2 linked regions of the Drosophila melanogaster genome follow. The protein of the gene in region 1 interacts with the protein of each later gene in a pairwise test. Each region holds a gene or a part of one and is shown on either strand. Other genes may lie near its edges. The genes, in order: zormin and rols.

Region 1 (16,372 bases):
CGCCTCCTCGATCAATTTGAGGATTTACTGGCCACCGGTAACCATGTGGTGGAGGTGGACAGTCGATCGCTTGACTGGCCCGAGGCAGAGCAGTTACTCATGCAGCTCAATAAAAACCAGGAAATGTTGGGTGAGTTTAAAAATATTAACAAACAAGTGTAATTTTGTATATTGCTAAAGAAATATTTATGCAGCCTTGACAACTACACTCGAAATATAGCCAGCGAACCTTGAAATAAGCTAGAATTGCTCTGATAATTACCATGGATATGACAAAAAAGTATTCTGAACAAAAAAATCATACCAAATACTTTCAACAAGTGTCACGCTTTCAAATTTAAATGAATAGAAGGTTAATATGAACGCATTCAAAACATCTGCTGGAACTCGATCTTTTGAGATCGAACACAGCATGATTTGGCTGCAACTCAAATAGTATACATCGAACCAATACTCTTTCTAGCATGGAACCGTTCCTAATTAGCTTAAATAATCGTATCATTTGAAATAATATACATTTTAATAAAATCATAGTTGTATATTTAGGTCTGTCCGAACTCGAGCCGTAAACAACAAATCTCTAAACATGCTATATCCAACATCCAACCGATCTCTAAACATGTTTCCAACATCCACAGGCCACGTCGAGCGCGAACTTGTGCGTGAAGGTGAAAAGCTGAGCGACATGCTGGCCATGCCAGTGAAAGACGCTCTGGGCCGTGACCTCCAGCTGGACTACAGTGCCGAGATCGCCCAGCTGCGCCGGCAGATCGACGAGAGCCGGCGTCGTCGTCAGGTGTGCGGACATCGGCTAGCGCTGCAGCGGCTCACCTTGGAGCAGGTGACCCACATCCACGCCTACGAGGAGGACGCGCGGAGGGCGCGGGACTGGCTGCAGGAGTTGTATGCCGTCTTGCTGCGCTGCCACTCCCATGTCGGCTGCAACATCCACGAGATTCAGCTGCAGAAGGATGAGCTGCAGGGGTTCGAGGAAACCGGACGGGTGAGTTTTCCCCCGTTTTTCGGGCGACTTCATTTTTTTGGGGGGGAAATAAGATGGAGGGAATCCATCCAGACTGCAAGACAGAGACGGGGAGTGACTGTTTGGCCAAGGTTTCTATCTAGCTGTATCATATTTATTAAAAACTATCTACATATTGCTAGGATATTGATAAAATTATCCTCTGATTTTAAAATTTTTGCATATATGTACTAATTATGCTTTCTGCTTTAGAGCATCTACCACTATGGCTGCCAATTGCTGGAGGCTTCCCAAACGCTGCGCCTCTGCTGCAAACTGGAACCATCATCATTTAGGTCACAAAGCAATTCCAGTCAGGGTTTCATTAGTGACGAACTGCAGCACACGTGGCACAGCCTACAGTCTGTGGCCCAGGAGCAAATGACCAGACTGCGCGTCTCCGCCGTTTTCCACCGCAGTGTGGAGGCCTATTACCGCCAGTTGAGGGAACTTCGACCCCTTTTGACCAAGGAACTGTCCGCCCAACTACAGCAGCAGCAAAGACAGCAGCACAACCGCAGCAGCAGTGGAATAGGTAGCGATGCCGAGGCAGAATTGGAATCGGAGCTGTCTCCATTGGGGGAGATGCCTCCGCGACTACAGAGGCACTTGGTGGCCAGGGAGCAACTGCTCGTCGAAGTGGGCAGAATGGTCAGACTGGGAAGATTGCTGAAGAAGCGTCTCAAAGAGCCCTTCGTTCTGGACGCATTAACAGGAAAGAGGTGAGTTATAGCGACTAAAAATCTATAATACTTTTGCAGGTGCGTGAGTGCATGGACTTTAACTTTGTATCGGCGGCTACTTCATTATGCTCAACGCATAAAACTCAGAAACAAAAACTGCAAAACGTTCTGCATATCAAATAAAAATGAGAAAGATTTCCACTAAAATCCCCACGAGTTCGCGGCAAATTAACTTAGAAAAAGAGCAAAGAACTAACAAGTTGCTAGAAATAAAACTAAAAGAAATGATAAATTGTATTTGGAAAACAAAGTACAAAGGCAACTTGGCAATAAAAATATAAAAATCATGATAATCAGGTTTTAAAAAACAGACTTCATTTATGAACTCAATGCTGTAAATAAAACCTGAGTCAGAAAGTTTATTATTGAGATAAATATCCCATACAAGCCTGAATATATTAACATCCTGCCCTACGACAAATAAAACGATTTCTTCAAAAGCCATTAACACGTGTACAACACCTACCAAATGTATTAAATCAAATATAACTTGTTCGCTATCAAAAAAAATTATAGTCATATAAAAGCAATTCGAAGTCCATCAAACCGAACCACACTTCCCAAGTAACCACAAACTAGACAGCCAAAAATAATTTTTGACTGAATGAAACAAATGTCAAGCTGCCGCGACGCACTCAAAAGTTCCACCACCCAAAATTCGAAAGAAGCACAAAAAAAATATTGAAATAAAATAAAAGAACTATTCTATATAGCAGCTCATTCCGTCCAAGATTCGGCGTCCAAATCCAAGCAGTCTATTTCAGTGCGTGGTCCAGTGCGGTTGTCGTTCGGTCCTCCTTTCTGTTTTCCGTTTTTCGGCACGGAGCGGGAAAACTCAAGAAAACTGTCGGTTTGTCAAAGCATATATGTATGTATAGAGCACATATCAGATAAAGAGTGAATTTGCTGGAGAACAGGCGTGACAAGTGGGTCACAGCGGGGAGCATTGTGATAGGAAGGTGATAAATATAGAAGTGTCTTCATGGTTCCACTCTCGAAATATCTGCATGCTTATCCCGGCAAAGTGAATAATTGAATCTACAATTATCAGAGAGACGTAGCTCACTTCAACTGGCCACTAGCCAAACGCGTGTTGCTGCCCCTTACGTCAAACTAATTGTTCCACGCCCAAAAAAAAAAAAAAAAAAAACAAAAAAAAAGAGGCGCCAACTAGGCAGCGAACCCAAAAAAGCTCAAAATGTTTGCCAGATTTCGTAATTTGTTTGCCAAATCAAAGGGCGATGAGGAAGTGGAGCAGGAGGTTGGACCCAGGCCGGAAGTGCCCAGCATTGTGGTGGATGAACCGCCCAATGAGGTGGAGATTCCGGTTGAGGAAGGTGAAAATAAATCCCTGGATGAAGCTGCTTATCAGGCTAATGCCTCTGCTCCTTTGGCCAGCGAAGAGGAGGATTTGGTACAGAGCCCCCCTGAGATCCTAAGTGAATCCTCCAGCGATCTAAGTCGACTTTTGGACGCTATCAATGAGGCCAGTAAGCTACCCGAACTAAGCAGCGAAGATGGCCAAGGTGAAGATGAGGACTACGAGGATGAAGACGATGATGAGACAGCCAGTACTTCAAGTGTCAAGACCAAAATAGCCAAGGCCTCAATAGAAAGGGATATTATCTTGGAGGAAACCGAAGAGGAGGAGGATGAGGTGGATTCGGGTCCGCCGCTAAAGAGTCTGGACAAGATCAAGGCCCTCATCCGCAACGACAGTGAAACATATCCGCATAGCGACTATACCGACAATGAAACACCATCGCACTCACGCACTGCCTCAGTGGATTCCGGAGCTCCCGATAATCCCCGTCTCTCTGGTGATTTTAGTGTCGTGGCCGATGAACTACCCCTGGATTGCACTGCACCAAGTCCACTCCATGACAGTGGAAGGACCAGCAGTGCTGGAAGCGAGATACCCGTGGAAACCCTGCCAGCTACTGTGCAAGTGGTGCCCACAGGCAGCAACGAACTGGCCTGCGCCGCCATTTCCCACAAGCTGGGAGCCATTGCCGAGGTAGCCGAGTCCCTGGACGCAGTCATCCGGGATGTCCAGCAGCAGGAGGGCGTTGTTAGCAATGGAATCAGCAATGTCACTGGAGGACATGGCATAAAAAAATTGGGAAGCATTGAGGTAAGTTTAAATAATAAAAATGTTGATTCTTTTTCCGTTTGTGTAAAATGGTACTAATCTCGTCGCTTTAGGATTGGCAATCGCGCTCCACCGAGGACGAATCCTTCGCCACTGCCTCCGAAGGCAACTTTACGCCGAACTCGCATTCCTCATCCTTTCAAACAGCCTCAGGACGCACTAGCTCCTACATAGGATCGGCCAAGAACTCCTTCGATGAGGCGGACGACTCAACTTTAAGCACATTCGAAATACCCGAACTACCACCTTCGCCAGTCAATATGTCCTTTGATAGCTCCGAAATGAGCTACTTCTCCGACCGTCAGCAGAGGATGAAAAGTGAAGATCAGGACAGTGTGGCGGGCATGGCAGAGCTGCATAGTCAGAGTGTAACGCCCACTCCGGACGAGGAGCAGCAACACCTGCTTCTGCCACTACCATTGCCGCAGGCCATCGAATCGGACAGCGAGGTGGAAGGATTCAATTTGGCCACTGGCATTACGACGGAGCTGGCGCCCAGGATGTCCAACGCCCACACGCCGGAGGTGAGCTACACATCGGCCAATAACACCGCTCCGGCTTCAACTAACCCCAACGAATCGAAACCGCCGCCTTCTTGGCGACGCAGCAAATACTACGAGAACATAACGAAACAGACGATCAAGGGATTTCTCTGAGAGATCTGGACAAGCTGTCCCAGTTGAAAGATGAACACAAAACGATTTCCCGCCCAATTAACCAGCGCCATTTGCTTCTCTGCCGATCCTCGACATTCTTGCCATTAATTAGTTGGCATACTATTTTTGCTGTTTTCCCAAAACCAATTTTAGCCCATGAGCTAAAAGTTTTTGTCTTTTTTATTTTGTTTGCCATTTTACTTTGCATGATTGTTCACTGTTTTCTACCAAAATTTATTAGTTCGATTGAACTTTAGCTTAAAAGATATACTAAAATGCCTGCGCAAAAGGTTTTTAAATATTTTATGTTTGAAAAATGTCTTTTGCTTATACTTTCTCTGCTTTAAATATAGTAGTAGAAATATTTATTTAGTTAGTTCAAATTAAGTCTAAGGCTTGCAAAAATTAGAGAATTCCCAAATGGTTAGAAAATATATTTAAAGTAAGAATTTAAATTCACTTACGGCCAGTCGAAATTTTTGCCATTAATCATATGTTTAATATTTATTTATAACTATTTCTCCCACACAGTCACAGTCACAAAACATAGTGCAATTAATATCGAACATGTTTTACCCCAAAAATAAAGCTAATCATTTATAATTTTTTTCAATACCTCCTAACTTTTCAGGTATTTAGTTTTAAATTTTATGCTTAAGCAAGTAAGTAACTCGTAACTGCAAAATTTGAATGTAATCTCGAAAATCCATGAAAACATTGCATAACTTTGGGCTGCATCCGTGAAAAGTCATTGCCATCATCTGCACTTAACCCTTGAGTGCTCTTTTGGACTTTTCCACCCTAAATAATTTTTTTCAATTTCCCTCTGTGGGTGGCCCTTTCCCCCAAACATTTAACAAGTGGTCCTCAAGTGATTTCAATTATCTGAAATGTGAACTGGCAGTGGGTGCAGCGGGGAAATGGGGTTAAGAGGGGTTGGCTGCTTTTGTGAGCTTCGTCAAGTGGCTCATTAATCTCAATTAAAAAACATATAAATAAATCGCTCTGAGTGTGGTGAGTGAGTGAAAAGAGTTTATACTTAACGAGCTGATCATCCAGAAAGGCGAACCAAATATCTATGAGATTCTTTTCATGCCATTCGACCAGATTTTCTGACGTGCCGGCGCTGAAAGCATAATTCGATAAGTTCGAATCGTTGATAGCGAAAAATAATAACACACATCTGCAGCGCATTGATTGCCGCAACTGCTGTTGCACGCAAGAAGCGTCGGATGTTGCACGTTGAATATTGCACGAAATCCGGAGCCAAAGCCAAAGCTGCAAGACACGCATTTTGGGTGAAAAATACTTCATAAATTGGGGTATAGAGCATCATGGGTGGTGAGGGGATTTAAATGCGGGCGGTCAGTCAGTTTGCCTTGCATTAAGACACGATATCGTCTGGTTTCCTCCGCTGCTCTGGTGTTGTTATTTTGATCTTCCACTCTTCACCATGTTATTAAAGTACAAAAGCTGCACTTGAATATGTTGTGGTTTAAGGTACCTCGTCTTATATGGGGTGTATAAGACCAACGAGGAAAAGGTCTAGCCAAGGGGAAAAATCATCCACACATAAGATGTTAAGTTAGATGAATATTCAAAAGTAAATGCGAATAAATAAAGTGAGGGCATAAGAGGGTAGCAACAGTTCGCTTAAAGTTACCCTTTATCATCAGAATTACAGGGTACAAGCTCGCTTCATATCGCTTTACCTTCTCTTCGTATTGTAATTGCTGAAAAGCCGGGCGCAGGGCATTAAAAATTGAAATCATGAATTAACGACGCCGCGAATGCCAAGAGCACTTGTTTATTTATGTCGTCTCCCCTGAAGCCCCGCATCTTGCCTCTTTCTCTAGCGTCTAGCGTCTCCAGCCCTCTCTTTCACACTCTCTCATTTTCAAAATACAAGCCGGCTTTTCAAAACTGAGCTTAGCCAGTGTCAAGAGATCAAAACAAGAGAACCGCTACCTGCATGAATGAATTGAGCGAATCGGTTAAGTTTCATGGGCTGCACGCTCTTTATCTCTTTCTGATCGGCTGTCTCCCGTAGAATCTGCTCAGTCTTCGGTCTCCGGTCTTCAGTCTTCCGATCATTTAGTCAGTCTTGTTCGAAGTTCGCGGCGTTCGGTTGTTCGGCTGTTGGGAAAGCGGCGCGCGCGTTTTGATTTTCCACATCTCCACCGCTCGAATATAATGTGCGAATAAAAACATATCTATGTAAATTAAGTTAGGCAGAAAACGAGGAAGAAAACAATAAATTTGGCACTTCAAAAAAAAAGCGAAATGAAACGTAAATTAATCAGCCATAATTTACCTAGAACATTTTTGACATTCAAAAATGCTTGGCGCTAGTTTTTTTTGCGTTCACTCGTCTAAAGATGAAATCAACAATCTGTGCTAAATTTATTGTTGTTGTCGAATATTCAGTTTTGTGACGACCCTCAGAAAGCACAAACAAAATGTTTAACAAATAGAAAACGACACAGAATGCGCGAAAAAAATATTTTTCAAAAATATTCGGTGACCTGATGCATTGAAAGCTTATTTGTTTGAGTCATGTGCATATTTCAATATACTACAACAGTCCACGCCCCAGAAAATTTCAATCAACAATTTTCCATTTTTTTTTCTTTTAAATTTTTTGGACAACAACATATGGAGGCAAAGCATTTCCTCGATTGCGCTACTGTAAACTTTTATAAAGGGAACTTGTTCTTCCCAATTTTTGGTTTGCTGCTTATTTTTAGACAGCGCAAAGTACAATTAAAATAGTTTACATTACGCCAGCAACGGCGGCGACTATTAAAAATTGAGAGAAACACCAAAAATTACCTAATGGAGGCAGCTGGCTGCACACGAGCATACGCGGCGTATGCGTAATGTATTCAAAAATATCGAAAAATCCATGAAAAATGACTGACTGGCGACGACTTCTGCCAATGCAATTGGCACATGTTACAGATTTGACGAACATCCGCGCGCTTTATCTATTAGCTATAGTAGCCTGTATCTGTAGCATCGCAGTATCTGAGTATCTGGGCTAGAACAACAGTTTAGCTTCGTGGCAGAAATCGCCGCAAAAAATTACTCAATAGTTTGTTGTTTTAAAAATAAACGCGAATCGAGCATTGTCTTTGAGTTTTGGCGGGGCGGGGGGCTACCGAGGTTCTACAACGAGACTAGCACACGCATCAAAGGCAATTTTCTCAGGCTCAATATGCAAAAAGTACACACGATTCTCTCGGCTATATAGCCGTATATATAGACACTACGGAATAATAAACAGACACTAGAGCGACAGGGAGAGCGCGAGTATGAAGTCATAGTCATCGCGGCGGGCAAAAAGAATTCTCCGTTTCGAAAATCTACCGATTCGCGGAGGTTCTCAGACGATCGCCGGCGTTGATAGCGCTCGCAACGAAACGAAGGAACCGCCGAATCGAATCCCCTGGCTATAACTAATCCCAATAAATTAAATCCGAACGCGAGTGACTCAATCTAATAGTTCCACTTTTTCGAGCAGAGTTCAAAATGCAAAACACGAGACACAAGCAGGGGAAGTAAGCCAAAATACGAGAAAAACTAAACGACAGAGATTATAAAACGCCCACGCAAAACACACCAAACTACAAGCACTCACTCAATCCTCGAAAGTTAGTCAAAAAAAAAGAAAACAGAGAGAAGTAGAGACGAGCAGATAGAAAGAAAAGCAACCATGGAACGCCGCCAAGCCCTAGACTCATCGATGTCTTCGCTCTACTCGGTCGCCTCCTCCTCGAATCCCAATCCCCGCCAGCCGCACACCGGCCACCAACTTCAGACGCAGCAATCCCAGCAATCTCAGCAGTCCCAGCTAGACGCCTTCAATTATTCAGCAACAATGTCATCATCGTCGCCGACTCCAAGTCAGGCCATGTCCACAGCCATGTCCACGGGCACGGGCACCGGCACCGGCACCACCCACACCACACCACCATCCTCCTCCTCCCTGAGAGCCACCACCATTGGCACCGTTGTCGTCCGATGCGGACCCATCCAGCTGGTGATAGCGCTCCTACAAGTGAGTTGTACTCTTGTACCCCGCAAACAATAAAAATAGTAAACTAAAAAACGAAACGAATCCAAACAAAAAACACACAGCAAAAAGGCCAAGAAATGGGAAACAAACATGAAGAAACATTTATCTAGATACGGGAGAAGTGTTCGGAGAAAGCTCTTGAAGTGCGCGGAAATTTATGCGGAAGGCGATCTGGGAGGACTTCAAAAGAGATTTGGGACGGGGCATTGGGAGATCTTGAATAAATCATAAATCTAGAAGTGCAGTCAGGTTTCGAAAACACGGGGAAACATCTAGGATAAGCTGTGGTCATTGAAACATCTTATGAAAAAAGTTGCATTCGACTCAGTTTTATGTGAAGCTATAAAAATCCATAACAACCAATTAAGCCAGTCTAAATATATTAACCTTTTTTTTCAATATAAATGAGCTTATCATTTGAATGACGACATAATCTTTGTTCATTATTAATGACAGTGCAATTATATATTTACATTTTTTTCATTTTGCGTAGTGGGGCAAAAACAGTCTGAGAGATGTAAAGCAAAGAAAATAGTTCAATAGATACATTATCTCAGATTGTTATCAAATCATTTTTCAATCAATTTATCACTATAAAACAACGTTCGACTATTATTAAATGGCCCAGCCTCCAACCAAGCAAATGTTCACTACCAATCGGTCGACATTAATTGATAAATTTCTATAATTATCCCATAGCTAGCCCCTTCGGATCTGAGGCAAAACTATGTGACTTTAGCACTGAAAAATTCATGAACTTCTAATGCCCAAAACTGGCTTACAATTTTCGATTGTTTAAACCGGCTTCCAGCGATTTCCGCGCCAATTAGCACTCGAACAACGAAAGCAAAAGTTGTTGATAGCGGTTATAAATATTTGAAAAACGGCAGCAGAAAAACAAACGCCACAAAAGGTTCAAGGTTGTCTGACATCAGAGCAAAGACACAAAAGCCAACTAAACGTGACAAAAAGAAATGTATCTGCCAGATACTTTCGACAATTAGGCGCAGCTGCTACCTGTCTGGGTCCATTTCGAGCTGGCAGAATCAGTTTCTTCAGAGAGAAACTTTGTTTGGGTCTTCTCCGCAGATTTGCCCCCTTTTCCAACCCCTCCAAATCGCTCGAACTTGAAGATGCGACTTGAACTTGAGATTGAGAAACATTTCTGATGAAGCGCTACAAGTTTTATGCCCCGAAACAAAAAACATTCAATAATTATGGGCATCGGTGAATGGTTTATGGGCTTTTGCGGCAAGGGGCAAGGGGACTGTGCCCCTTTTTGCACCACCTTTTCTGTTCATTCAACCAACGGATCATTGAAATTTCGGTGTGCCACTTTGTGCCATTTTTTTTTTTTTTTTGCTGGCCATCAGAATAACTATTTTTGCTTCATATGCCATTCGAGACTCACGGCTCCATGTGTTAAACATTTGATTTGATTTACAACTTTTTCCCCCCTCCACTTTTGATTCTGAAAATTATGCAAAAACATTTTACTGACGAGCCTTTCAACACGTTTCTGTTGTATACGTGTACTCGTGTTTCCATGAATTGAAAACTCGCGACCCCAAAAATATACAGATTTCTTTAAATTTCCGCTGGCCTGCTTGGAAACAGTATTGAAATTCAAAAACGAAACTAAATAATTGCTTACCTGTCGTTGTTTTCGTTATTCTCGAACTGGTCCCAAAAATGCTGTTGAAAATAAACAAGAGCGATTTCTCTCCCCGGTTCTCGCAGGTAAACAAATTAGCAACGGAACAGAGCCAAAAAAAAAGCTGAAATAAGAATAACAAAAGTGTACAAATAAATACACAATATTCCACAATAAAAGCCAACAGATGTGCAACAAACACACACAAAATGAAACAAATGTATGAGCTAAAAAATGTTCGATGAGCTCAGCTCCTTATTATTATTGTTATAAATTCCACGTGGGCGGTGGGAGATTTTTTTCTAGGGGAAGAAAGGCGGCGGAAGTTCTTTAAACTTTGTGCTTCAGCATAAGATTAAGGAAACAATAAGTTGGCAGAACCCCCTTCGTCCCGCGGCTCGTAGCTTAAAACTATGCAAATATGTCAAAAGTTTCCTTCCTTTCTGGGTTTATTTTTCGAAACAGACAACAGACAATTCTTTCAGTTAGTTTATTCTAAACAGAAAGAAATTTCAAGTGGCAAGAAATTGTATTTAAGTATTAAATCTTGGCAAGGATAGTTTTGCTACTATTTTTAAACAATACTATCTGTAATGCGGATATTCATTTTTACCAATTTAAAATTATGAGACCTTAGAACTTTACTTTTCTTTCTGTGTACCCATACTCCACAACTCACAACAAAGTTGAGTTATTAAGATTTTGAATGTTAAGTGCTGGAAGAAAATATGAATATCTACCAAGTTTTTAGTGGCACAATGCGATTCTGTGGTGACTACTTAAATGACATTTATTTGCCTGTGAAAAACAGTTGAAGATATTCCGTTGAAAGAAATGTCTAAGACATGTGGTAAGTTCCACGAAGATACAACGAAGTACGTTGTCTGTCGGCAGAGCGTTTAATTGGATCTTTATCTCCATGGGCAACCCAAATCATCTTGTATTAAAATCGCCCTGACATGATTTACATATCCACCAAGGAAACCTATCAACTTCTTGGACGAGCCCCACCCAGAGCTAATTAACCAAGACGATTCAACTTCTCGGCCATCCGGGCATCAATCTCAATGGATGATGATTCGGTTTTGGCTCTGACGCAAATTTCGATTACAATGTTTGTTGATGCAACACGAAAATATTTACAAGTGTTTGAAATGAGGGAAAAATTTTTTGGGCCTGGTTACAAAACGTTTCTTTTTATGTTCTTCTGGCTCGCGAATGAAAAATTAGCTTCAAGGCAATTAAAAGGCTGAAGCAAACTGGAAAAAGAAACTTCAAAGGCACAAGATTTACATGTTTGCCTAGCTAAACTCTCTCTAAATAAATAGATTTTCCGCTTTTCGTTGAAAATGCGAGGCGTGCCACGAATGCTGAAGATCTCTTTTAATTGAATCTAATGCGCGAAACTAATTTGAGCCTTTGCTTTGGCCATAATGAAGCAATTGGGGCGCGACTGTCGACCTGCTTTGGATTTTCGATTCCAGATCTTGGGTCTGCGCAATCTCGAATCGCATCGAATCGGACTTTTGGTGCGATTTGCTCTGATTTGCACAAGAGGAGGCGCCACGGGAGGAGTAAGACGTAAAACTCTAATTGAATTTATGGCGTTTTCATTTGTAAAAGTCGCAGCATTTCACTCATAAATTGGCCAGATATATGAGCATATACTTATGCCCGGCACTGTACGAGCCATGTATGTATTGTATATGTATGTGCCATTGCCTTGGGCCTTCGGCGTGGGTGAAACGCCGCAGCTGCGCAGTGCGCACTGTCTAATGGACGAAAGAGATGGCATCACGTGCAGCGAAAGAGACGGGCGATAGAAAGCCGCACCAAGGCTCAAAAGAAAGAAATGTTTACGACGCTTGGCAGGCACATAAATTTACGCATGAAAAGCTGCGCATTCCGCCCGCTCTGCACAGAGTCGTCAGGGTATCCCATTTTGCCAGAAACTGCGACTTGGTCGCGTTTAGAGCTGCCATTCAGTCACGTGATTGCGATTTGTCACTGTGATTTATGATCGCTGTTTCGAGGCGAACGGCAAGGGCGCTCTTGTCACTTTCTGGTTTGAAATTTTGTCAGTTTTTGCTAAATCAATTCTCTTTTTGAAGTAACTATTCGGAGTCTGAACAAAAGCTTTTTTCTTGCACATTTTATTTTAGCTTATAGCAATTGCGCACTAGCTTTAATAAGATGTTTTAATCTAATCTGGTTACAACCATAAAAAAAAAGATTTAAGTCCACGCCTAATGCAGGCCTACGAAAATATATGCATACTGTGCTTTCGATGGCACTTCTTCATTTGCCCGATGGCGTGTCACGGGAATTGGCCGTAAATCTTATCAGTAATTGAAAAATTCCAGCCCTAACTGACAGTATCCAACACCAAAAGCGTCGTCAACGCTTTAAAACGCTAAAAATAATGTATTCTATGCGCAGACGCAGTCCGCTGTCTCTTTGCCTCTTGGGTTTGGCTAGGTGTTTTGCGATTCGGATGGGTCTGCTCATCGGATGGGGGCAGGAGGATCGGGATCCACTCGAAAGCCGGCTGGGGATATGCCGTCAATCGGTGGCTTTAGTGCAGCTGCTACGTAGCGCAACTGACAAAACAGTTTGGCACGCACTGATTGATAAGCAAGGAAAGCGGCTCGTGGAAAATTATGCAAAAGGGGGGGGTTTTCCACGAGGAGAAGCATACATTTGCAACGCCAAAGTATACAGTGAGCTCTCAGCATATGCGTATCTCATATAGTACGATGCGATTTAAAACCATACTTTGTATTTAACCAATTATTATCCCATTATCGCTGTTGATCGCTCTGCTAAATGCAAAATTCTTGCATCGACTCAATAGAGGCATACACGTTCAATTTCATGGGATAGTTTCAAAGCAGAAGATACCCCGCAATTTTCGCTTTCCGGCGGTCCACTGTAGGGGATCCAGCTGCTGTAATTACCGGAGTGGAAGCGACGGCTCGGTGGTTTTCAAGTTAGAGACGCGAAATATATTGCATGTTTACATGGCAACTGATAGTCGCCGATAAACGTTCAATGAAAGTCGCGCGTTGCAGGCGACTCCTGCTGCTGCAACTGGAAAGGCGCAACAGCCATCGAGATGTTGCCGCTGCAGATGCTGCGGATGGTAGATGCGAGTGAGTCGTGGCCAATAATTTGTAGAAACAATTATAGAAATTATCTTTTTTGTTGGCCGCGAATTAAATTGAAATTTAAATTGCATTCGATGGCAGCAACGAGATTGCCCAATACGTGTGCTCATAATTCGCCGTCGGCCTGGGAAAGTGCGACCCACAAAAACCTGAACAGAAATTGTTTTATGTTCGCTGGTATTTATAGAACCCAAAAAGTCTGACATCACTCGGCCACACACAGCTGATGATCGCGGCACAAAAGCTGAACCTCTGCTAAGTGAACAATAACAAAATAGCTGAATACTGTTTTTTGTTTTATGACAAAATCAAGTTGGGTTTAATGGAGGCACAGGGTAAACGCGTCAGAGCGTGCTATCCACAAAACACCGAAGTAGATTCAGTAAATTCATTTGCATATGGGTATTTGTACAATACATTAATGCTGTTTGCTCTCCATCAAACCGCTCACACACACACACACACACACACGAATATTGATGCGGTTTTTTATTAGTCTGTTTATACACACTTTTTATGGCCACTGTGGCCTATGTTTGATCAGGAGCAGAACAAACACTCGCGAGCATTTGATTTATGTCGCTTTAATTAGCCAATTTCAATTTGTATTCAATTAGCTCACCTTTATGGGAGCACTCGCCAGCACAGCCACAAAATGAAATTGTTGCAAAAAGCCAAACAAACATGCGATGCGTAAATGTACCTAAATTGCATATTAATGGCCAGACGAGAGAGACATTGGATTTTGGGTCAAGGCTGGCTGCTGAACTTTTGCGATGATGAAATGTTCGCTTTCAAATCTATATTTAAGTCAGAACTCATCGAATTTTGGTCAATGTATTCAAATAACTAAACAGCTGAAGAAACTGAACAAGCTTAAATAAAGATGAAAACTTCATAAGCAATTTATTAGAAATCACCAGGATTTGTAAGTAATTCCTCTTGAAAAGGATGCTACACATCTTACATGTGGCAATCTGGTCAAATAAATCAGGTACAACAAGCCAACGCCTTCGCAAATTGCGATTCCCAATTAAATATTTGGGATATCGTAGCCAATGGCCGTAATGAAAGAGCCGAGAAGGCCGGCGCTCTATAAAAATGCGCAATGATTTCATACAAAACGATGGCAGCAACAACAACGGCCACAGCATCGAGGTAATTTCATATCGAAATCGTGTTCTATCCGCTCCGCAAAGTATTAATTTAAAAGCCAAAAACGTGTTTCACGCTAAGCGCCTCGAAGAGGACGCTTGTTGCCCCTCCCGCCATCCTTCTGCCCTAAATCATTCTATCCGGCTTTGGTAGAATCAGTGGTAGATACCCTAACCAGCTTTCAAATGCAGGGGTAATCATTCAATGAATGATTTATCCCATTAGTGAATTCAAATGACAACCAAATGGCAGATCATACACATGATGTTCCATATGACAGAACTAACACAATTTGGATGGATTTGGGATAAATTTCAAGATTGGAAAGGGTATTTCGATGGTCGTCTTTCCACCGCGTGCATTCCATTCCAGGGTGTTATTGTTTTGAACCGCCGTTGGGTCTTTCGGCATTATATCATCGCCGTCATTGTCTGGTCTGTGGATGGGGGCATAGCACTCCCACTCCCACTCCCACTCCCACTCCCACTCCGACTTGGCCACGATCTTGGAGCACTTCCGCCATGTGGAGCTGCACAAGTGCCGGGCGAAGACGCGTCTAAATGTCCAAATGCATATTACGAATCTTAACGGCTGGGTGCGTGTTCGTGTGCCACTTGAAATACGATTCAATTTCGCAATGAGTGACGTATGCATATTTGTGGGGAAGGGAAGTTGTGAGGCGCCCCGACCATATGCATAATGGTTTATTTTATGCTTTATACGTACATAAGCTTAGTTATGGTCGGCCTGTTTATAGTGATGTCATGCCATTTATGGTTCATATTTCAGTTAGACGGCGTGATTATTCCCCCACTTCCACCACGCCGCCCGTTACACTTCGAAATATATTCAGATTTTCGAGAATTATTGGTGTGCGCATAGCATATTGAAAACTCACTCACGTCGCATTGAGTCAGCGACTTCGACTGGTTTTTCTAATCGGTTTACATCGCTGCCAGTGGGGCAGACAATTTAATTTAATAGCCGGGTTATTAATTTGTAATCCAAATTGATTAATGGCAGCCGCAGATCTAAATCGAAACCCTTGAGCGACTAAATTGGAAGTCTACAGCGCAACATCTGTGGCAAGAACCACTTTCAAATATATTTAATATAGGGGATGTCTAAAACGAAGAATTCAAACTTACATTGAAGCATTTTAAAATTTAAAAAAAAGTATCTTTAGTTATCGGGATAGGGAAGTTCCGTTTACAGAGTTACTACTGTACCGTGCCCAAAACTATTTCGTCGAACAAATTAACGCCCACGCAGCTTTCCCTAAACATAAAACCCAAACCTTTTAACAGTTTGCTAGCCATCAGGCGAGTTCTTCATGGTTCGCCATGGCATGTGGCACTTTTCCCCAGCTCCAGCTCCAGCCGCATCACCATCGACACATGCTCATCCCAACAGGAAAAACTAACGGATGCCATTACCATAAACAGCCGATGCTGACCTTCATTGCAATCAAACAGAGCTGAGGTTGTGGTGCCACTTCTGCTACTTCTGCTACTTGTGCGAGTTCGGAGGCAGCTTCTGGTGGTGCTACCAAAATTAGAAGCTGCTTCGGGAGCAGGTTTGCTTTTCCCTCGCTGCACGAGATCATCGCACACGTCTCCTGGCCACCGATGTCAACTGCGAGCTGCATGAATGGGAATGCAGCCAGCTGCTGGGAGCCCAGGAACGTGACTGGAACGGATTTGGGGGCAGGCGAGGAATGCAGCGGACCCTTGTGGGAGAAAATCT
Region 2 (16,496 bases), 9.9 Mb from region 1:
CTCACACTTACACTTCCTCCCCCAAAGCACACACAACACACACAGATACAAAGCCGCTGCCGAGTCGTGTGTGATCATCACAAAAGATTTCCATTGTCTCCCCAGGCGATTTTGTGGTCGAAGGAATGACGAACGGGCGGAGGGGTCTACATTTTCCACTGCAATCGGCGGCGCGACATGTAAATTAGTGCAAAGTATTTGCATTTTAATGTAAAGACAACAACAATGCCGCAAACGGGAACCAAACAACCAACCAACTCAATTCGAACAGAAAATTGCAATTAATGCAATTTGCATTGTAAATTGTTGCTAAAAAAAAAACAGTAACCCTTTAAAGGTTCGCGACACAAGAGCGACAATACGGAAAAAGGTAAATGCGATCTGTGAAATTGCAGTCATTCCAATGAAAGAGATGCGATGGTCATAAGATAAACCTCAAGTGATCAAAGAGGCCGCCTTAATCGAGATCGTACGAATAAGTTTTTAGTGCAATGGGCCGAGTCTTACTAATGGGATTTAATTCAAGAGAAATTACTTGGGTATTGAGTTAAATTTTATAAAACGGAATCTTAATATTATCCTTCACATAGTTGGCTATAAAAATAGCAAGGCTTTTGTTGTTGTTACCTAACGAGCTAAGACTGCCCAAATATTCGAAATATTCAGTCAACGGCATCTTTAAGTGCTACAATTAAAATTTACCTAAAAAACTGCAACTATTTCCACTGCCAGATCGACGACCGGTTGTTTTATTGCAGCTCCAATTATTTTCAAAATTTCCTTTATCCTTAGCGCTGTTTGTGCCACCAAGCTGATTGTTGTTGTTGTTAATATTGGTGGTACCTCCGATTATGAAGCTTGTGGTCTGGTTGTTGTTGTTGTTGCTCGGATTGTTGTTGGTGCGATTGCCACTCGAAGAGCGGTTGGTTAGTGGGAACATGGCATGTATCTTTTGTGGTTCGCAGGCTGCCTCATGTATGTATGTATCTGTATCTGTATCGGCACTGGTATACGGTATATACACATGTATCTGGATCTGTATCTGGATGGATGCAGTTCCAGCTGCGAATCCTTTCAAGTCGATTTTGTCCAGCTTTTCGAGCCGAATTTCTCGTTCGATTTGCCCTTCTTTTGCACTTTTTGGTGGCACGTACTTTTGTGGATTTTTCCTTTACACCTATTCGTTAAATTCGTTTTCGAAATACATCTAAAGAGCGCTTTACAAAACGAGAAAAACCACACTTATTTAAATTTATAATTTTTAATTTCTTCACACATTACGACCAATGTAGTTTGTGTAGGTTTTTGTTTAGTTTTCTGCGTTTTTGTGCAAAGAGAATTACTTGTTTACTAATTGGATTTGTCACATTTACACCTGTCGAATAATATTTTAAGCTTTTAAAGCAAAACAATAATTTGTTAGATCAATCTTCAGTTTTAAGAGCCTAGATTTCAAATTAAGTCAACGTTGTATTCGATTTTTTAAGCCTTATAATCTCAAATCAAAACATTTTCATAAATTTGCGAAACTAAGGTGAACACCAATGTATAGATAAGTTGGTCACTCTTTATCTAATCTCTTTTTGTCTTAATCGTGAGTCAACTGGGACTCTTGGAATTTCGCGATGTAAACATTAAAAAACTTTGCACATTTTGCAGACGAAACAAAATTCCTAGACAATGACACACACACACACGCATATATATAGTCGCATTTATATACAGGTAAATATATTACTTTAATCCGCACTGTGGTCACATTACGCATACGTCACATGGAAACTCAAAATATTTGCAATTTTCGCACACTTTTTAAGGAACTTGGCACGTTTTGCGATTTGAAACCGTATCCAGAGTGGCGAACAAGAAAATGCCGGCTGAAGAAAGATCGTGTATCGCGATGATTTGCCGATCGTAGAATGCGTTTTCCGATTCGCGTGCGGTACGCTTGCGCGAGCTTTGAAGTTCGTTTCGAAACTGAGCGCAAAAGCCAGAAAAGTGCCGGAGAGCCGCAGGTCTCCAAGTTTGAGAGCGCAACTCTCCAAAACACAAATTTGAGCCAGCTACTCAAACTCTACACACATACCGGTTTTCCGTTTCCAGCAGCGCCGTCTCTCTATCTCTATCTCTTTCGCTCGCCGCTTATCAGTTCCACTATCACTATCACTCTTTTTTCAATTTGCGCCGAGGAAATTCATTCACGCTTCGCTGTCGTTGGATTTGTATTTGTTTTTCGTACCCCTTAAGTGTGGAGATTAGGGTATATCGATTGTAATGGAAATCTGCCTAAGGGGTGTAGATTTGGATTCTATAAAGTGTTACTTCTATGTGAACCCATTTATCTTGAAGATCTTAAGTGCTACCATTACCAATTTTGGTATGCAGACACTGATTATTATTATCAGTATGTATTTTCGAAGCCTTAAAATTTCAAATGACTTTGGTACTTTACATTGAACTTTACATTGTACAGCATAAATTATTGTTTCCCTTGCATCGCCAAAGTACCAGATATCATTTGGTCTTTACACTTATTAACACTTGTACCACTTGTGCATATTGTATTTGCTCTTCTTAGGTTTTGACTGATTGAGGTGCTGGACTGGATGAACTGTCCCTTATCGCGTTGTCAGTCCGAAATAGCAAACATAAAAGCCGGAGCAAGGGTATGGTGTATCCCTTCTTCAGGCTGAGCTACCTAATGACGCAAGCGTTCGTGCCTTTGGTGTCGCATTAACCCATGAAACACTATTCAGCAGGGGTTATCTGCCCGATAAGCCAGACGACACTTCTTGAGAGGGTATACACAAGGATATTGTCCCTCGAATTGGTGTCCGAGATTCGAGGATATTGCTTTCTAATTGAGTCATCATTCACACTTATTTTGGGCACCTATTAAGTACCCCACTTTCAGGCATCGTAAGTTAACAATTAAGTGGTTGTCAAAGGTCTAAAAGTGCTGTTTTCGATTCAAAAACAATCTACTACCCCAATTTATGTGCGACAGATTTATTCAACCGATTGGCTCGTATCTTGGCGAGCCCATTACCCATTTAAAGGTATTGTTGCAATGCTCCCAACATCATCAGCAATATCAGCTTGGTAATCAGCAATTCTGGTAGCTTTCGAGCCCATTAGCAATCACGCTGCTGTTGCCCAAGCCACAAACATTTCGATAAGCGAAAGCCGGACACTGTTTCAATTGCATTAGAATTAATCTACTCATTAGCAGGGGAAATCGACGAGCACGGGGCTCACATAATAGAATGCTACCGCTGGCAGTTGACATCGGTAATAGTTTGTAATCGCCCGAATGTTCCAAATCCCCACAGACCCTGGAGTCGATTTCATGTTGAGCCCCCCCTCAAATGAGCTAATACCTTTGACACAATCTTGATTAATGGTCGTCGATAAGGGGAGCGGGACGAGCTGGCAGTATAGGTTGGGACATCTGGCTAAAGTTTTTCTATAACTTGGTCAAGAAAATCTGTGCTGGGCAAAAACCCAGAAATGACATGTAATTGCAAGCGTTTCACTTGATAAGAAAGCCATAAATATGGTACCAGATTAGATTGTACTCCGAAAAAAAATAGATTTTTTTATAAATATAATATTTGGCTTCTTATATCACTGTTTTACATTGAATTCAACAAAAATTTAAATCAATTATATGAACTATGCTGTCATCCATAGATCTCCCCTTTTCCCTTTCATTATCGCAGGTCAAGAAACTATCTGACTGCAGAGTTCATCTCATAAATACTGAGAGAGCTATTTCGAATTCAGATTCAAGTGCAGCGTCGATTGTGGGAATTTGCCGACTCGCGTTTTATCGAACACAAAAAATGCATTCGAATTCGCCGGTGCGTGCGCGGGAATTTTATGAGGCTCGTATCTGAATCTGCGACTGGGTCGGAGTGCCGGGATTCATTCCAATAAATAGTTGGTCTGTCCGAGGAGTCCATGCTGTGCCCACGGGCAACAAAGTTGCATTTGCAACTGCGCTTGGCATCGAGCTTCAGTCGAAGTCCGTGCCGATTATCCGTCAGATGCAGATACAGTTGAGCTTGCCTAACAATAACCGTTCTTCTTACGTGAGATACTTTTTCTTCGAGAGTCAGTTTTTAAATTTCACAAATCACTGATTTGTGTTTTTTCTACATTAGTATTACTTTATAAGCTGATATGTTGTTTTTATTTTTTGTATCTTATGAAATTAAAGTAATGGATATGCACTGTACTTCCCAGCCGGTTTGGAGTTTGTTGTCCATTCATGGCAACTACCGTTCGGGTCTTTTGTTTGACTTTGTCTTGCGGCCGTCATTCCGCTTCTATTTGTAGATACAAGCCCCCAACAACTGCTCCATTCCCCATCCTCATCCATCCGCAATCCTCGCAGCCCCTTTCTTCGCCTCAGCGAATCTTTGTGTTTTGGGTTCTTCTGCAGAAGAGGTGCATATACCTGTTCGTAGACGCGTCTTCCAAGCGCTCTTCAGCTTTGGTTCGCCCACCGCGCTCGTTCTCGGCGCAATCTCAAGTGTTTTTTAAAAGTTTTCCAGCGATAAGCCATGTTACTTTATGGACCCATCCAGTCGCATATCCAATGCCTCGGCTGCTGCAGCTCCATCATCATCATCATCATCATCAACCATCCTAGTTCGCCATGGTCGTGTGCTGTGTTTCGCTTTGGTGTGATCATGATGTATATGATTCATGACTTTTCACTTTTCCGCACAAACACACACACACGCAGCACTCAGCCAAAGACGCAATGCTGCAGCACAATGGGTTTGGAATGGAAAATCTGTGAGAGTTATTAGAAACCTATAACTAACTAAAAAGCCATTTTGATTCGTTTTATTCAAAATATGAAAAGTCTGAGGTAGGTGATGATCAGCACTGCTTCTAGTTGCACCTTTTAACTTTTAAGCTCTTCTAGCTGAGAGTAGACAAGCTAGACCAGACTGACTGTCTGAATAAATTGAGTTCTATATATTTCTCGATTATTAGAAATATTAATTGAGAGCTAAAATATTTTTGAAATTATTCAAATTATTCAAATTTGTGTAGTGCTAACTGCATTAAAAATATTAAACAATTTTTGAATGTATCTCCTAAATATAAGAACGGCATTGAATATATTTTTTACTCTTAAGGCATTTTAAGTGAGATGATGATGCCCAAAATGGTTAAAAGCATTTTAATGGCCGCAGTTGGCGAAACCACCCACTATGCATAATTTGAGGCTGACACTTTTAACCCTTAGCATAAATTCTCATCAGCTTTGTGCCATTGGAGTGGCACGTAAATTACTGTGACATTGCACTTTGCAGCATCATTTGGCAATTTGTTGAGCACTTTTGTTGGACGCGCAGCTCTTTTTGTTTTTTTTTGTATGTGTGTGCCAGTTTATTGATTGGTTTTAAATTAAAATGGAAGTCAGCGGCGTGTGCATAAATCTTGGCCAATTTTCCTATTAGAAACTGTCAATGTCAGCGAGTTTTCACCCCGAGGATCTGTTCGATCGGCGACTCGGTCATATGCTAACCAAATGGAAGATGGATAAACGCGGTGAATATATCCATTTGGATGATTTATGACCCGGCCCGGCTTGTTAAACATCTGTGTGAAATGGGCAAAGTCCGGCCACTTGTTTGGCTTTCACTGGCTTTGTTTACTCTATTGCCAATCGAATTGTGTGCACTGAAACTCGTAATGCTCCAAAAACATTAAAAACCTATTAATAAATATACTTAAATGAAAATATATGGATATAGTTTATTTTCAGCTATTCAGAATGTATCTGCCAGATTCTGTGAAAGTTGTTTCTGAGCTAAACTTTATAGCTTGCCAACAATTAAGAGCCTTATGCTATAAACCTGTAGCTGCATTTTTCTGAGTGCATGTTAACTTCCCCACGGCCAATGGATGTTTGTTAGTTTTTCGGCCGAGGATATTGCTGATGATGTTGCACTTGAAGATTGGTGATGAAGGGGGACGCAGGAGACTCAGGAGACATCGGGGTCTTGGTGGCCCCTAGATACTTTTGGGGAAGGTGGATGTGGAAGTGGAAGTGCTGGGGGTCAGTGTTGCCGCCTCGCGGGCTGCCTTTCTAATGGCGAGCAGAGCGAAATGGGTCCGCTGCGAATGGGTCATTAAAACGGTGCGCCTGTTTGCATGTCCGGTAATGAAGGATTGTAAATGAGTTTAATGCCCTGCTGCCTTGATGGATGGATGGCCATTTCGGTTAAAAGAAATCATCACAGAGAAATCGACACAGTGATCAATAGCAAAACCGATCCTTGCTCACAATTTACAGGTAAATGAATCCGCATATAAATGAATTTATGGACTTCGCCTAAAGTTAAGGCTGCGGTTCTTGATTTAACGATTGTATTCGATCTTCTTTAAAACGTGTTATTAAAGTTATTCGCTGCTTATATTTATCGCTTATATATAGGCAATTTATCGTATATACCCGGTACTTACCACTTTCCGCTGCACTCAAGCACTTGGCGGCCATTTCCTCGTTGAGCTCCTCGGCGGGATTCCCATCGCCGGAGTCCAAAACACAGCTCACACTGGCAGATCCCCAGTCCAGCGCACTAACGCCATCGCTGGATATCATGGACAGATCCATTGGCGGCACTGAAGTTCCTCGCAAAGTGCTGGTTCCACTAATGCCACCACTGACCGAGTCGCCACCACCCAAGGATGAGTACTTGAGATCCAGCGAGGAGTTCATAGATCCGCCGTATAAGGAACTGGTGAGCGAGGCGCAGGTGGAGTCGAAACTCCGATTGCTGGCTCGTCGCTTTTCCGGCGTGGCATAAACGGGTTCCGCCTCCTTTCTGGGCGTGGCACACTCGGAGTAGCCCGGCGCTGCAGTTGAAGACACTTCGCTCGTCAACGAGCCATTCAGAGCTCCATAAACCGAGGTCATCATGATGTCATTCCGATTGAAGCTCGGCTGCCAGAAATCCTCCTCCACATTGCCAGAGTCGACAAGATCAGAGGATTCCTCCTCATCCTCGTCCTGCTCCTGCAACTGCTCCTCGGCCACGAGCTCATCCAGATAATCGGCCTCCAAAAGGCGCGATTCATCGATCATTGCGATCGTATCGTCCAGATTCTCCAATCCCCCATCCTCGCTACCCGACTCGTCCTGCTCCTCGTTGGCATTCAACTTCTGGAAGGTCTCGTCCGCCTGCTGCATCATATCGTAGGCATGTGGAATGGACGATCCGTGCAACGAGTCCGAGTCGTTCTCCTCGATGCAGGACAAGTGTCGGGTGCGAAAGCCATAGACGATTCCATTGGCCATCACCTTGGGCGGCGGGTTGATCGGCAGCGGCGGTGTCTGTAGCTCCGATTGGTCACCTTCCATCGCGAGCGCAATTTGCTGCAGCGAGGGCATACTGTAAAATATTTAAATATATTATTTTCATATTTAAAAGTATTTCAAAAATGGGGTTAATGCTTTTTTTATTTTTTTTAGCTTACGGTTAAAATACAATCTTAAAGTCAACAAGAAGTATGGCACTGTACATTTAAAAGTATCTTTGTATGGATTTGAGCTATAAAAGGTAATGCTTTCTTTGCATTTCTCCCCATTTACGAGCACCAGTAGCTTCTCTAAACACCACTGTACCTGACTAATGCCGCACATTAAACATAATTTGACATATGTAATTTTGGGGCTGTCTTGATTTTAACGGTCCTCCATGAAAACGCACTCGAATATGGGGATTTCCAGCGGAAATGAGTTCAGATCAGTTGAGCTAGCTAGGCAGATAAAAACACGGAGAAATACTTTGTCCCAATCTACAAAACTATCTTTTTAAACCAAATCTGATTTGTTACAATCTGATTTCTGTGCTGACTATCTGTATCTTTCCATATGAATTTAAATGTAATAAAAATGCAAAATAGCTATAGTTTGATTTCGGGCTTAGATCCTAAAATTGTAATTGTAAGTCTGTAATGGGCGGGCTTCTAGTTTAGAGTTCACTTTAGCTCGTGGCATGGATTTCTCTCAGTGTAGGTGCATCTTGAGGTGCGAGCTTGTGCTTGTGAGATAGCGATAAGCCGGGACAACTTTAATGCCACTTAATGCCCAGCGAACAGTGGGACGTGAAATTGTCCCAACATCAATCTTCGGCTCCAGCAGTTCCCACATGGAAGGAGGCAGCCCGGGGAAATGGGGCACATGGGGTACTGCGGTACATGGCAACTGCAGACATGCAGGGCACTGCGGAGCACACAGGAATGGAGACGGAAGTGTCCCCCAGGCGATAGACAACGAACTTCCCCTCGTTTTTATGGCCACATGCGCATCTCGCTCACATTTGGTGCGCGTGCGTATCTTTCTATCTTGTTCAAGTGTGAGGGTGCCCCCTGCAGCGATTCTGGTGTTTTCCTCAGCTGCTTCTTCCTCGGTGCAAGGAACTCGAAGTACAGTGGATCTTAAGTAACATGAAATCAAATATCAGAGGGTATAGTATGCACTTTCCAGGAATATTCGAACAATTACAATACCTATAATAGGTTTTAACTATGCGAGATTTTCTTAGAAATGAAAGTTGGGCTTAGCGAAGTTTGACTGTAGTTCTTTAGCAATGTCATCGGCCTCTTGACATATCCATCCCCCCTTCCTCTGCTCCCCCTAACTTTCCCCTCGACTAGGTGTTGCAATAGTTATTGTTGCTGCCGTTGGGTCCCCCATTCCATTATTTTAGATTCGCTGGGGAAAAACTAACGTTTGGCTTGTGCCACTGCCACCACAAGTTGCAAGTTGACTTTGGCAGTGCAAAGTTTTAAATAAACATTGCCATCGGTTGGTTTGCGGGCAAATTCGCTTTAGTCGGGGCTGAACTTGGTTTGCAGTTTGCTTAGGTTTGGCGATTATGCACTGCTATTTTTTAGTTTTTGCAGTTTTGTATTTAAGAAATATCTTTGAAAAGCGGCACAAAAATATTATGAATATCTATTAAAATGGTTTTGGAGCCATATAAGGTTAATATAGCTATATCTATCTAATGGCATATATGATTATATCATATTTACTATAGGGAAGTAACTTATATTAATAAATATATCTGATCAAATCATTATGCCTTCATTCTTCTGTCGTCTTTATAAATCTTACTTACATTTACTTATGTATATAGATTAGCTATTACATTTTTTTGCAGTGTAGATTTTCCACAAAACTAATGCAACAAACAAATTACTCTAGGCGACGAAAAACTACACATCCCTAAGCGGTACGAAAATAGATCGGCCAAACGATCGGCGGCGGAAAACTGGGGTTGGCGGCGCGCCGTGGTTGCATTTGTTGTATTTGTAGTTGTTTGTCGTGCGCCAAGGGGCGTGGCGCGAAGGGAGGGCGTGGGGATGCAGGGGGCTCTAGGATCCCCAGCAAACTGCATTAAACTACTTTCCGTGCAGTTTATTGCTTCGTCTGCGCGCGTTTCTACTTTTAGCTATGCCACGGCTGAGGTTGTGTGCGTGTGGAGTATCTGTGAGAGTCTTGAACTTGTGCTTCTTTCTTTCACTCTTTTTGTGTTGTTTACATCTTATTATTTTTTTTTTTTTTCATTTTTACACATTTTCGAGCCAATGGGCGCCCCATCGAACATGCGACATTTTTCAGTTGGTTCCCAATTTAAATTCAGCTGCCTTTGTTTCGGCTCGCCGCTCAAGACATTTCCACTTAAATGCCCTGGGATATGGTCACTGAACGATGCTCCCTTTTTAGGACCCGATCCGCCAGATCGGCGAGATATTGCGCATTCCACCAGATACTAGGCGACATCGAATTACTTGGGCATTACTCATTGCGCGATTATATTGAGCTTTTATAAAAAACTTATTCAGAAAGTTATATGAAATTCTTTGAGAAATGTACTAGGTAATAGTAAATTGAATGGATCTTTATGGATTTTTAAAGTCAAGCTGTTGTAGTTTCATATCCGCCAAATGATTGAAGTGCATTCATTTGAACTTTAATGATTTTAATAATCAAAAAAGTATGCTACAATATATGCGTATACATTTTTAATACAAACCTTTAATATCTTTTATAATTCCTCTGCTTGTACAAGATGATAAGTTCTAGTTGGAACAATCCTGGAATTTCAGTTTTCCCTTCCGTTTTTAAGATCTATCCGCACAGTGGATGTTTAACAATATATATTTTAGGAACTTTATGCAATCACGATTTAGGTTTTTCAATGGTAGTGCCACTTTTGTCAATATTCTTTCACATTCACTTTATCACTGATAATCCAATGTGGCAATTAATCCGATTGGCGCTGCTGTATCCGTATCTTGTGTCCGCCGTAACCGAATCCGTATCCGTACCGAACGCGCGCTGGAATGCAATTGAGACGAGCGGATTGCCGAGCTGACGGCAACTGCATCCGATGGATGCAATGGAATATCAGAAGTGAGGCAGCGCAGCCGCAACAGCGCCCTCGGCAACAGGAGGATATATACTATGCGTAGATGCTCAGATACATCCGTGCATTCGGATGTACGTGTATCTGCCCCAATGCTAACTAGACGAAGAAGCAAAGACGGCGCTAAAAATAGTCGCGGGTGCAGAACGTGAAGTCAGCGCCGGTCCATCACTTTTGTTAGATTCCGTTTCCAGAGCTGCGTTGCCCATTTGGACATTTTTCAGCCAAAAGTTGGAAAATCAAATAGTTCTCCAATCGTGCATAGAATTATTACATAATATTTTTAAATATTTTGCAAACTATAATTATACAGTTTATAAGTATTTAATTTTCTTTTATTATAGATTTAATTAACTTCATTTATCATATTATTTTAGCAACATTTACATTTCATTCTGAACATATCTGGCTTCGAAAGCAGACGTTGCGTCTGTTCTCGCTGCACCCCGCGAAGTGTTCTCGGTTTCTAATGGGATGTGCCCCATCTTTTCCCAAGAAAAGGGGGTGAGTGGGGGTGGACTCGAGCGGAGTGGAGTTTGGCAGCGAAACCAAAGTGTCGCTTGCTTGGTTGCCATTTAATTGCACTGCGATCTTGGCTGTCGGACTTTACTCTGTGTGTTTAGGGGAGTGGAATGGTCGAAGTATACCCCAAAAGTCTTAACATGGCAGAATTATGACTAAGTTTATATATCCAAATCGTTAGTGAAAGATGGGAACTGCAACTTTACAAAGCTCTAACGAGTTACATAAGTAACATTAATATGTTATATATGTACAATGATCAATAATAAGTTTTGAGATACATATGCATATGTAGGTTTAATTCCAATTTCAGGTATTTTCGATTTCCATTTATACATCAATTTTTAAATGTATTTTAAATTCACTGTTTCGTTTTATTATAAACAACTCGTAAATTGCAATGATGCAACACCTGTTGGAGTGATTAGCAAATGCTGTCATTGGCCACAGATTACATATTATTTTCTGCGTTGCTGCATTCTTTTCCAATTAGCCTAGATCCCGGTGACTGTACCTGGGAATCCAGAACCACCTAAACCACAACCCCAATAAGCAATCCTGAGCCGGAGTTCAATGCCCATAGGGTGAGATTTTCCAACGCAACGGCAACAAGTCTGCCGCGCAGGACGGGATACAATTGCAGTTCGTTCAACCCGGAGGCCAAGGATGAGCCGAGGTGAGCACATGGGGCTGGCATCCACGGATCTATGCGACGGAAATGGACTAATTTTTCATGTTTTGAAATTGGATGACAGCGACAGGAGGACACACTTCCCGCGAAGGCGGCGACGCATGCGCAGTACGGAACGGAGTTCGTCGACCTCGCGGATCGAAGATACAAGATGCATCCGTGTACTAAGTAGTTATAGTTACGCACGGATTGTATTACACGATAGATGAACGCTTCGCTGGAACTGCTGCGCTCAGGCGCTGGAATTTCGGTGATTTTTCCTAGCAACTGTTTCAATTTCTCGCTTTCCCCGTATTTATCTTTGCCCACTTTAATATCACTTCCACTTTCCACCGTGCGACTCCCATTCGTTCTCGTCCCCTTGGTGTTTGAATGATTTGTGACAAATGGTCGGCCTGCTCAAGAAATCCTCTTAATCTTGGAAGATTACTCGAGCACTCCACGTACTGATAAATTATTGTGGGAACCTCACATAAATTTTAGAGTTCATGAGGATTTGCGGCAATTGATCGCTTTTTGATCGGAATGCATAGAGAATATGCCTTTCTAATGTAGATATAAAAGCGCAGTGCTAAACTTCAATATCGTTTAAGTAAATTTTAAATTTGGATATTATTGATATGATGTGGAACATAAGCAGACTTGCGATATCGTATGTGGCGCCATTAAAGTGTGTATTCTGTTCGTTTATGGAACTACGACCATTGGTTGCTGACCTGGCTAATAAAGGGTTGTGTTTTGGCTGACGTGGACTAAAAACGAGGGTGGTTTAATCTTATTTGTATTGTGTATTCTTAATAGAGCTAATTGTATATTTATTAACATTTTTATGCCCATACACAGTATTCTGTTATAAACTTGACTCTACTTTGTATGCTCGATAAACTCTACGCCATGAACGGTATAACCATTTCCATCCATTTCTTTAGATCTTCCTGCGGACGTTCGCTATTTTCCAATCAATGGTAATTTTTAAAAAGTGAGTCAGCTTGGATATTTAAGTTTAGCTTAAGATTGTCTATTTGATCAATAAGCGAACGTAGAGCTGTTAAGCAAAATGAGCCGCATTATGTAGGGGCATGATTTAGAGCGCACACAGAACTTGTATCCTGGAAAGTGTCCTGGGTTCTGGCCACTCCAATAAAAATTAATGCATACAACAAATTTATAACACAATTTGTGCTTTAAGTAAAAGGGTATGCTAGCTTTCTTGAAAACCATGTAACGCGAAGCGTTATCAGGACACTAGCCGAGTCTATCTAACCATGTCAGTTTGTCCGTATGTCCTTCTGTCCGTCCGTATGCCTGTCCGTCCGTTAGTCCGTATGAATCGTATTCTTACCAGCTGGATAACTAAAATTTAGCATTCATCGTTAATTTCAATGGGAATCCAAGCAACTGTGTCGGTTAGTAAAACTGTATTTATTCAATTACATATCTTAAGGACTATTCTTAACATGATCGACTATGTCAGTTCGAATTCTATAAAATATGATAAGTTAAAGATATGTTCTGAAAATAAGTATATTTAATTTAGTTAAAGCAATGCTGCTTGCTTTAATTTTGTGAAATTTAACAAATTTGTTTAGACAATCATAAACGGTCAGTCTCGCTGGTTGGGCCATATCATAAGCTTACGCGATTTATACAACAATTTTTGATGGCAGTATCTACAATACTAAAAGCAAAAATAGAGATACGTTATCTGCACTCTGAAATTTAGGGAACCAACTAAAATACTTTTTGAACATAGCTGTGGGGAAATTTAGTGTGCTACATATTACATGCTATAACTACTTAATTCGATAACCAGCTAAATTAGCTTCAATAAACGACTCAATGTGAGTCAATCAAGGAACATTTTGCATCTGCATCGCTTTGGCGCAAAAATAAAACTTGTCTCTCTCGTTGTAACATTTCCATAGTCATTAGATGGCACTTTTGGATATCGAAGATCGCGGGTTTCCTTAGAACTTCTCGTCGTCGATATTACTGCGGCAATTGTTCAGTGCCGATTGTCGTTTGATCGTTCCGGATTCGCAGTCGATATACGTTTTGGCCAGAACTTTGGGCGTATTATTTTGGTGCATGTTGTTCCGATTGAGGGTGCCATTGCCGTTGCCCAAATTACTGGTCTTGGCCGGCATCCGGAAGCTGGACTGCCGTTTGGGTCGCTGATCGTAGTACTGCAAACAAATATAATATTTTATATTTAATAAATTATAAAAGTATTTTAACTTACATCCTTGGTGGGCAGACTGGAGTACTGATTGGGATAGGTGTCGAAACTGGCTGTTGTCGTCGTGGTTTTGTTTAATGCCTCCTCAGCACTTAACATGAATCGTTTCTTGGTGAATCTGTAGGTGGCCAGGCAACAGGCCACTGTGAAAAGCAGGCCAACGAAGATCACGATGGGTAGCGTGGCAGTCGAAGCAGTTTGGGTTTCTGCAAGTGTATTACATATGGATAAGAAAATGTTTTTCCATTCAAATGAATCAAAGCTTGACTTACCCTCGCACTCATTGGGCACACAGGCGGTCTTCTCGAACTCCGCACCACGGCACTCCATCGAACCGGGCTGCTCCACCAGGCAGCGGCGATGTCTCAGTCGGATGCCATCGCTGGAGCAGCTCGACCACTCGCTCCAAGCGCTCCAACCTAGGAAATCTAAGGAGAAATCAATTACATAGTTGGTTTTCTATGGAAAATGTTATGTATAATGATGACCCACCTTCGCATGGCACCATTTCACACTTCTGTTCTTCGAGTGCACGACCCTGACATAGCCGGTCGTGACCCGCTAGGCAACGACGTGTCCTCCGCCGTAGTCCCAATCCGCAGGTCACCGAGCAGGCAGACCACTCGGACCAGCAGCCCCATTCGCCGTGTTCCAACTCGTTATCCAGGCTATTACTACTTAGCTGTTCTTCCGCCGGGCAGGCGTGTATATTGCATACCCGACTCTGGCTTCCACGACCGCGGTGACGTTGCTGGACACCACCACCGCAACTGACGCTGCATGGTGACCAGTCCGCAGCATCGGAGTCCGCGGAGTCGTGATCAACCTGCCGCTGGCAGCTGCCATCAGCATGACAATTGCGCGACTCCTCCTTGGGCAGGCCAATTCGGACGGAACTCGGATCTGGACTGGTGGCACGACAGACGAACCTGAATCGCCTCTCCATGTGCGGTTCACTTGAATTTCCGCTCCCGGTCACCGTTAGCCACGGTGTCCAGGCACTGAGTTTGCGCACCTCCTGACAGCTCTGCATGTTGCACTCCTCATAGTCCAGCCGACAGCCCGGGCACTCCATTCCGCCATTGAGTGGAGCCGGATCGTTGCACTCACGTCGTCGCATTCGGAAACCACCGCCGCACTGGGCACTGCACTCACTCCACTCGCCCCACGGTCCCCATCCGCCATCCACGGACTGCGGCTTGGCCACCGGGCACGGTGGCAAGTGGCGGCAGTACATCTCCGACTGCTCCGATCCCACACAGGTGCGACCGCCGAATGCCGGACGCGGATTTCCACAGGTGCGTCGTCGGATCTTCACGGCAATGCCGCAGGTCTGGGAGCAGGGCGACCATGCTGACCACTCCGTCCATCCTCCGTGCTGCGTGCAGTTCGTCACTTGGGTGCTGAAATAAAGGAAATATAATTACAATAGGTTCCTTACTGCCTCTTTATAATTAAATTAATTTGTATACTGCTATATTGGTTTAACAAATTATACAAATTGTACACACCTGATGCCCTCGCAGGTGGCACCTCCATGTTGTGGCTGAGGATTGTTGCAACTGCGCTGTCGGCACTGGCAATTGCTATCCGGCTGCTCGTGCTGCTGGCAAACGGCCCATGGACTCCAGGTAGACCAACCGCCATCGATGGGGGCATTTAGTACAGGACAGGTGATCTGTGGCGCCTGATGCCAGTGTTGCAGTACAGAGGAATCCTGTGGCTGTGGCATGCAGCGCTCCACCAGTTCGTTCCAGCCGCAGTAGGGATCCATGGAGTTCAGACAACTTGACTGCGACACATGGCGACTGCAGTGCTGGGCGGGAATCCGGGTGAGCGCCAGATCGGTGCCCAGATAGAGGGAATCACTGACTTTCAGATAGGCCATATTCAGTAGGCTACTAGTACCAGTATCGTCCGCCTGCCAAAGTTCCACCAGACATGTCTGAACTCCATCGCCATCGTACTTTACGGACAATTTCTTTATGTGATTCCCACTGCTGGCCACGAAGAGCACGTGCACTTGCTCCGTCTTTGTGTTTATGATGTCCAACGCCAGGCGGCCGAATTGTTCCAGTTTGGAGTGGTACAATGGCTCTGCTCCAATTGGCTGCACTGCCTCATCCATCAGTTGGTAACGTGAGCTCTCCAGCCAGTGGCCAATACTACTCGTTCCGCACTGGAACTGACTCCGCTGATTCGTGTTGACCGTTTTCCAGGCCGCATCCGAGTGCTCCTGCTGCTTAAAGGGTCCATCGAAGGCTGCGTTAATGGAGCTCAGGTTGTAGGCACAAACAGCTGATCCAAATATGCTGGATCTATAGGTTTACGAAATAAGGAAAATGATGAGTTTTAGTCAAGTTAAAAGATATAGAAGTTGCAGAATACTTACCCCGACGTTCTGAAGGTGGCATAGAGAATGGATTCGGATTCGGCATACGTCATGCCTTGGATCTCATCGAAATAATAAGGATATTCGCCAGGCAGTGAGCAATTGAGACGAGCCTTCAGAAACGATGTCCAATTGTCCCTTAGCAACTGACCACCACCGCCCACATCATTCTTGCACACCCTAGCAACT

What was found.
Region 2: the proteins of zormin (region 1) and rols interact in a two-hybrid assay, tested with the Drosophila melanogaster proteins (one study listed by BioGRID).

The regions. Positions count from the first base shown.
Region 1 is NT_037436.4:2,142,005-2,158,376, reverse strand, and holds the start of zormin (zormin), read left to right. Parts: upstream 1-6,676; 5' UTR 6,677-6,767; intron 6,768-8,095; 5' UTR 8,096-8,287; coding exon 8,288-8,632; intron 8,633-16,372. Other genes in the region: CG15822 (uncharacterized protein), read left to right, coding at 1-130, 639-1,003, 1,235-1,743, 2,974-3,898, 3,970-4,572.
Region 2 is NT_037436.4:12,054,492-12,070,987, forward strand, and holds the start of rols (rolling pebbles), read right to left. Parts: upstream 10,369-16,496; 5' UTR 10,071-10,368; intron 7,419-10,070; 5' UTR 7,418-7,418; coding exon 6,490-7,417; intron 1,984-6,489; exon of another isoform or gene 941-1,983; coding exon of another isoform or gene 703-940; intron 1-702. Other genes in the region: Sema5c (semaphorin 5c), read right to left, coding at 13,644-13,862, 13,919-14,121, 14,188-14,343, 14,408-15,318, 15,427-16,233, 16,308-16,496.